Oryctolagus cuniculus: one gene and its partner. The protein of the gene in region 2 binds, or shares a complex with, the protein of the main gene of each other region. Links are inferred from orthologs where the notes say so. Each region holds a gene or a part of one and is shown on either strand. Other genes may lie near its edges.

Region 1 (2,946 bases), on a different chromosome or scaffold from region 2:
CTCCAGGTGTGTGTGTGTGTGTGTGTGTGCGTGCACGTGCATGCTGTGTGTGGGGTGGCATAGACCTGCATTTCCTAAGGGTGTGTTCTGGGCCTGTTGAAGAACCCGAGTTCTCCTGGGGCACCTGAGAACTAGTCTGGAGTTTCTCAGGTGCCCTGGCGGGGGTGGGGGGGGTGGGGGGCAGGGACGTTCTAGGCAGATACCATATGCCAGGGTTGCTTTTTAGAAATAATAGTGGCACCCAAGTAAGAATAAACCAAGAAGTTAGATGTGAGAGTGACTGTCAGGTGTGCATGAGGGAATTGGCCAGGAGGGCTTGTTACAAATAAAAATTGCTGGACCACATTCTAGAATTTCTGGTGTTACTGAAGTAGGGCCTGAGAGAGTGCATTTCTGAGTGGTTCAGGTGATGCTGATACAGGGCTGAAGAATCACACTCCAGAGATACTGGTGTCACCATGGCCATAGCACTTCTGTTCCCGCAGCTGACAGGCCCAGCTGCAGCCAGTCCTAGCGTATTGGGAAGCCTACACTGTCTATGTGACTATGATGTGATATAAACCATACCAGGCTCTTTTTAAAATTTGTTTATTTGAAAGGCAGAGAGAGAGATCTCCCATCTGCTGGTTTATTCCCCAGATCCTATAGCATCCAGGCTTGCCCAGACAAAAGCCAGGAGCCAAGGGTTCCATCCAGGTCTCCCGCATGGGTAGCGGGGACCCAAATACTGGAGTCATCACCTGCTGCCTCCCAGGGTATGCGTTAACAGGAAGCTGAAATGGAGAGTTAGAGGCATGATTCAAACCCAGGCACTGTGGTATGGACTGCAGGCATCCCAGTGGCAGCTTACCTGCCGTGCCTGTGCCAGGCTCTTGGTGGGTGCTGTCAGAGTTCTTGTGGCAAATGAGGAAACTGAGGCTTCAGTAGAGTCCCAGCTCACTTACCCAAGGTCGCCGGGTCGGATTGTGTGTGGGGAGCCCTTGAGTGGAGGGGGCCAGCTGGCAGGGTACGGGGTAGAGGGCATAGTGGGAGAGAAAGGATTTGAAATTGACAGGCCAGCCTCTGCCCTCATGAAAGCGATGTGGCCTTCTGCGTGTGCTGAGGTGGGGTCTTGCAGGCAAAGACGCACCCAGGCAAGAGAGCATCAGAAGAGCGGGCTTTTTTTTTTTTTTTTTTTTTTTTAATTATTTGAAAGGCAGCGTTACAGAGAGAATGGCACAGAGATCCTCCATCTGCAGGTTCACTCCCCAGATAGCCACAATGGCTGGGGCTGGGCCATGCCAAAGCCAGGAGCCCAGAACTCCATCCAGGTCTCTCCTGTGGGTGGCAAGGGCCCAAGCACTTGAGGTGGAGCAGCCAGGCCTCGAACCCGGTGTTCATGTAGGTGGCAGCCTAACCCACTGTTACATGCCGGCCTTAAGGAACAGGTCCTTAAAAGACTGAAGACCCTCTTAGTTTTTTGAATTTTTAAAAAATTTTAAATATTTATTTATTTATTTGAGAGGAAAAGGTAGAGAGAGGTCTTCCATCTGCTGGTCCGCTCCCCAGATGGCTGCAATGGCTATAGCTGCACCCATCAGGAGCCAGGAGCTTCTTCTAGGTCTCCCACATGGGTGCAGGGGCCCAAGGACTTAGGCCATCTTCTGCTGTTTTCCCAGGCCATTAGCAGGGAGCTGGATTGGAAATGGAGCAGCTGGGACTCCAGCCAGTACCCGGAGCAGTTTTACCCACTACACCACCGTGCTGACCTCTATTATTTTATTTGAAAGGCAGAGTTAGAGAGAGAGACAAAGACGAAGAGGTCTTCCATCTACTGGTTTACTCCTCAAATGGCTGCAACGGCCAGGACTATGCCAGGCCAAAGCCAGGAGCCAGGAGTTTCTTCTGGATCTCCCATGTGGGTGTAGGGGCCTGAGCACTTGGGCCATCTTCTTCTGCTTTTCCAGGCATGTTAGCAGGGAGCTAGGTTGCAAGTGGAGCAGCCAGGTCTTGAACTGGGGCCAATATGGGATGCTATTGCTGCAGGCAGCAGCTTAACCCACTATACCACAACTCTGGCCACTGAACTTTACTTTTTTTAAAGTAGCCACTATGTATTGAGCTAGGTTCGTTGTAGGTATTCTCATTATGACTCTGAGGTGGGTGCATCACCCCATTGTGCAGATGGGGACCTGAGTTGCGAGTGCAGTGCTTTGCCGGGCGCCCCACAGCAGCAGATGCGGTGGCACCCAGGCCTGGGCCGCGGCCTGCTGTGGTGCCTCATTGTCTTCTCTTGTGCCCCAGCTCATCACACAGACCTTCAACCACCACAACCAGCTGGCACAGAAGGCCCGGCGGGAGAAGAGAGCGCGGCAGGAGACCGAGCGGCGGGAGAAGGCGGAGCGGGCAGCCAGGCTGGCCAAGGAGGCCAAGTCAGAGACCCCTGGGCCCCAGATCAAGGAACTGACGGATGAGGAGGCAGAGCGGCTGCAGCTGGAGATTGACCAGGTCAGGGGAGCCCCCCGCTCTCCCTCCCAGATCCCCACTGGCATTGGGGGCCTTGTTGCCCACTGCTGTGTCTTTTACCACAGAAAAAAGATGCAGAGAATCATGAGGCCCAGCTCAAGAATGGCAGCCTTGGCTCTCCGGGGAAGCAGGTGAGGTGCACTGGGATTAGCCAGGGGCCAGGGGCCGCTCTAGCCTGCCGCTTTCTCTGGTGCTCCCTCCCCGTCTTTGAGGATTCCTCTGAGACAGTGGCCAAAGGACTGGGCCAGCAAAGGCAAACTCCTCTGGTCTTAAGCTTGGACACTGCAGCCTGAGGTGGGCTGGCTCCGTGACGTAGCCACGAGCTTTGTTCTGTGGGGTGAGATAGCCTGGGCTCTTCTTGGCAGATATCAGGTCAGGTTTTACCTCTGGTTCCCAGGGATCCAGGGCTTGGGGATCTGCCTCTCTGTTGAGCGGGCAGGG
Region 2 (4,204 bases):
CTCTCTCTATGATTCGTGACTTTGAAATAGATAGGTGAATCTTTTTTAAAAATTTATTTATTTATTTGAAAGACAGTTACAGAGAGGTAGAAATGGAGAGATATTCCATCTGCTGATTCACTCCCCAAATGGCTGCAATGGCCAGAGCTGCACTGATCCAAAGCCAGGAGCCAAGAGCTTCTTCCAGGTCTCCCACATGAGTGCAGGAGCCCAAGGACTTGGGCCATCTTCCACTGCTTTCCCAGGCCATAGCAGAGAGAGGGATCAGAAGAGGAGCATTCAGGACTAGAACCGGTGCCCATATGGGGTGCTGGTGCCACAGGCCAGGGCTTCAACCCGCTGCACCACAACGCTGGCCCCCAGATACATAAATCTTAAAAAAAAAAAAAAAAAAAAAGATGCCAACCAGAGCTCCTGCATCCCACATGGGAGCGTCTGGGCTCACTCGTGGTTCCTCTGCTGCCCTTCCAGTTCCGTGCTAATGAGCATCCTGGGACACAACAGGTGATGCTTGGGTCCCTGCCAACCACGTGGGAGACCTGGATGGAGTCCCTGGCTCCAGGCTTTGGCTTGGCCCAACCTTGGCTATCGCAGGCATTTAAGGAGTGAACCATTGAATGAAAGTTCTCTCTCTCTCTCTCTCTCTCTCTCTCTCTCTGTGCTTTTCAAATAAAATGAAATCAATAAAAAAAAATTTTTAAAGCCAGAAACCAGGTCTGTTGAGGAGCCAAATACCGGGACTGTTTAGGAACAGGCAGAACCCGGTTCTGGTCCTGGTCGCCAGCCCAGGCTGGGAGGGAGGGAAGCCAAGGAAAAGGGAATTTCAAGTTTATCGGCAAGTTCAGCGGCAAGGGTGACACCAGGGGCAGGAAGGGCAGGACCCTCTCCAGGGGAGTGGACGTGGCTCGCACTGTCCCCTCCCCGCTGGCTGAGGAGGGCGTGCCACTCTTGCACTTGTGCTAAACAGCACCAAGCCTGCCGAACTTTGCACGACCCAGCCTGCGAGACGGGAGGCCAGGTTTATATCTGCTGGGAACAGGGGCGGGGCCACCTCGAGGGGCGGGGCTTTGTCTCGCCCCGCCCCTTCCCGGAGCTCCGCGTTCCGCTGCGGTAACCTGTGGACCCGGCAACGGACAGGGCTCGCAGCCTGCCAGATCCTAGAAGACAGTGAGCGGGAAGTCGTGATTGGTTCTCCCCGAGGGGGTGGGCGGGCCCTCCGCCTGCCCAGTGCCCTCGCCGCGGGGAGGCGTTGCCGGGAGAGGCGGGGGGGGGGGGTCTGAGAGGGAAGGGGCGTGGCCGCACGCGGGCGGCCGTTGGCAGCCCGGCCCCGCCCCGGATGGGGGCGTCACGGGGCCGAGGCCGCGGCGATTGGCCGGCGCGGCGCGGGGGGCGGGGCGGAAGGTTCTGGAGGGGGCTGGCGGGCTCTGGAAGCTTCCGCCGGACGGGTATATAGAGTCGGGCCGGGCGGCGGCGGCGGAGCCGGGTACGGCGGGGCCGCGGGCGGGCGCCATGGGCAAGGATTACTACCAGACGCTGGGCCTGGCCCGCGGCGCGTCGGACGAGGAGGTGAAGCGGGCCTACCGCCGCCAGGCGCTGCGGTACCACCCGGACAAGAACAAGGAGCCCGGCGCCGAGGAGCGGTTCAAGGAGATCGCCGAGGCCTACGACGTGCTGAGCGACCCGCGCAAGCGCGAGATCTTCGACCGCTACGGGGAGGAGGGTGCGTGCGCGCGGCCGCGGCGCGCGGGGAAACCGAGGCACGCGCGCCGCCGGCCGGGGGTGGGGGGCTGCTGAGAGGGCCCCCGGCGGGCGGAGGAGGAGCCCCGGCTCGCCGCTCGCGCAGAAGCTTCCAGCACGTCCGGGCGGCCCCTCCCTGGGTCTGCACCCGGTGCGGGCCGGGGCGGGGGGCGCGGCGGGGGGCGGCCGGGTCTCGGCCTGCCCAGCTGCCCGTCGGTGACTCACCGGCTTCCGGGCTCGGTCCTGAGCCAGTAGAGTGTGTTTTTTTTTTTTCCGATCATCAGGGCAGCGGCGATTGGTGCTGGGACGGGAGAGCTTCAGAAAGCTTCCGGGGTGTCTTTGGTTGGCCTGCATTTGCCCACGTTCTCTCTGGGCTCAGGGGACGTGGCCGCCGCTCTTCCCCCCTCTCCCCCACCCCGGGTCATGTCTGGGTCTCTTGGTGGATTCTTGGGAGGATCAGCCGGGAGCAGGCAGGGGCCGGGCCTTGGTGGCTGTCACCTGCGGGCCGAGGCCCCCAGTGTCTGCAGCGGCAGGTGCAAGCTTGGGGTCCGGCCCTCGGCGGGCTGAGAGCAATCCCGCCCCGCCCCCTCACGTCCCTGCGTTTTTGCTTCGCAGGCCTGAAGGGCGGCGGCCCCTGCGGGGGCAGCGGCGGCGGGGCCAACGGGACGTCCTTCAGCTACACGTTCCATGGCGACCCGCACGCCATGTTTGCCGAGTTCTTCGGAGGCCGGAACCCCTTTGACACGTTCTTTGGGCAGCGGAACGGGGAAGAGGGCATGGACATCGACGACCCGTTCGCCGGCTTCCCCATGGGCGTGGGCGGCTTCACCAACATGAACTTCGGCCGCTCGCGCCCGGCCCAGGAGCCCACCCGCAAGAAGCAAGACCCGCCCGTCACGCACGACCTCAGGGTCTCCCTGGAAGAGATCTACAGCGGCTGCACCAAGAAGATGAAGATCTCCCACAAGCGGCTGAACCCCGACGGCAAGAGCATCCGGAACGAAGACAAGATCCTGACGATCGAGGTGAAGCGGGGCTGGAAAGAGGGCACCAAGATCACCTTCCCCAAGGAGGGGGACCAGACCTCCAGCAACATCCCCGCCGACATCGTGTTCGTGCTCAAGGACAAGCCACACAACATCTTCAAGAGAGACGGCTCGGACGTCATCTACCCGGCCCGCGTCAGCCTGCGGGAGGTGAGGCCGCGGGGGTGGGGAGCCGTGGGGGTGCGCTGGGGGCGGGCGGGGCTCCCCAGGCTCTCGCGGCTGACCGCTGTCCTACCCCCCCCCACCCCCGCCCAGGCCCTGTGCGGCTGCACGGTGAACGTGCCGACTCTGGACGGCCGCAGCATCCCCGTTGTCTTCAAAGACGTCATCAGGCCCGGCATGCGGCGGAAGGTGCCGGGCGAAGGCCTGCCCCTCCCCAAGACGCCGGAGAAGCGCGGGGACCTCATCATCGAATTTGAGGTGGTCTTCCCCGAAAGGATCCCCCAGACGTCGAGAACCGTCCTGGAGCAGGTTCTGCCCATCTAGCGCCCCCACACACCCACCCACCCACCGCCCCCGCATCATCCGGGCGCCGCCGGCCCCAGGGACCTCGCCAGAGCTCAGCGTCTCCGGCTACCCCGGCACTCGTGGACCGTGAGAGGGCGGGAGGGCCCGGGAGCCTGATCCTGCTCTATGTTTTCCAGAGAATATATTACAATCTTTGAAAGTCGTGCACTCGACTGTGCTGGTTTTTCGGGCGGCGGAGCGGCAGGTGGTGGGCAGAGCAGGACGAGGCCCGCCCCGCCCCACGCTCCTCCAGACACCTCCCCCCCCCCGCACCTGCAGCTGGGTCCTGTGCTTTGTCTCCCCTGCTCCATGCCTCCCCCCACCCCCACCCCCCGGCTCATCCTGGCCATCTCAGGTGGAGAAAGCTAGACTCTGCAGAACTGCCCGGCCGGCGCCCACAAGCAATACCTTCCTCTTTCCAGCGGGACCACGGGAGCCCGGGAGCTCACGGAGACGGGGCCCAGCCGTGCTTTGCCGAGAGCGAGCTCTGGGCAGCTCCGGGTGCCCTTTCTGTTCCATGGACTCTGGACTTTGTTTTGTTTCGTTTCGTTTTGTTTCTCTCTCAAAGGGATCTGATCCTTCGGAATTTTGCACAACCCTGGAGAGATGTATAGAGACATAGCTATAATCCCTTTTGATAAAAGGGTCTTTGCTCCCGATTGCAGGAGCCTGTAAATGTTTTTATAACTCCCCGTCAGGCCGGGGTGCCCCCAGACGGGCCCTGCCCTGCCCCCATGGCCCCGGGCGGAGGCGGGGTCTATTCCCGGGACACCCGTCTGGTGCTCAGCCCCTTGAGACTCATTGTACGTTGCCACTGCCGACATGAGACCAAAGTGTGTGTGACTTGTCGCTGTGCAGGGTGATGGCATTAAAGACTGTATGAGAAACCTCCCGGGAGCGGCCCTCGGCTCGTG

Evidence for each region. Proteins that work in one complex are often made in the same cells at the same time.
Region 1: the proteins of DNAJB1 (region 2) and NUDC are in contact, whole or in part, in a crystal structure (PDB 7NDX), measured with the Homo sapiens proteins. The link is inferred for Oryctolagus cuniculus from reciprocal best matches to the Homo sapiens genes DNAJB1 and NUDC. Residues at the interface, in NP_006136.1 of Homo sapiens: His166, Lys181, Lys182, Met183, Lys184, Ile185, Ser186, Asp201, Lys202, Ile203, Ile235, Phe237; in NP_006591.1 of Homo sapiens: Pro102, Gln103, Ile104, Lys105, Glu106, Leu107, Ala112, Leu115, Gln116, Ile119.

The regions. Positions count from the first base shown.
Region 1 is NC_091438.1:144,574,240-144,577,185, reverse strand, and holds part of NUDC (nuclear migration protein nudC), read left to right. Parts: intron 1-2,283; coding exon 2,284-2,487; intron 2,488-2,570; coding exon 2,571-2,636; intron 2,637-2,946. UniProt on the Homo sapiens protein: Plays a role in neurogenesis and neuronal migration. Necessary for correct formation of mitotic spindles and chromosome separation during mitosis. Necessary for cytokinesis and cell proliferation.
Region 2 is NC_091447.1:63,137,024-63,141,227, reverse strand, and holds DNAJB1 (dnaJ homolog subfamily B member 1), read left to right. Parts: upstream 1-1,401; 5' UTR 1,402-1,509; coding exon 1,510-1,720; intron 1,721-2,352; coding exon 2,353-2,933; intron 2,934-3,038; coding exon 3,039-3,269; 3' UTR 3,270-4,182; downstream 4,183-4,204. UniProt on the Homo sapiens protein: Interacts with HSP70 and can stimulate its ATPase activity. Stimulates the association between HSC70 and HIP. Negatively regulates heat shock-induced HSF1 transcriptional activity during the attenuation and recovery phase period of the heat shock response.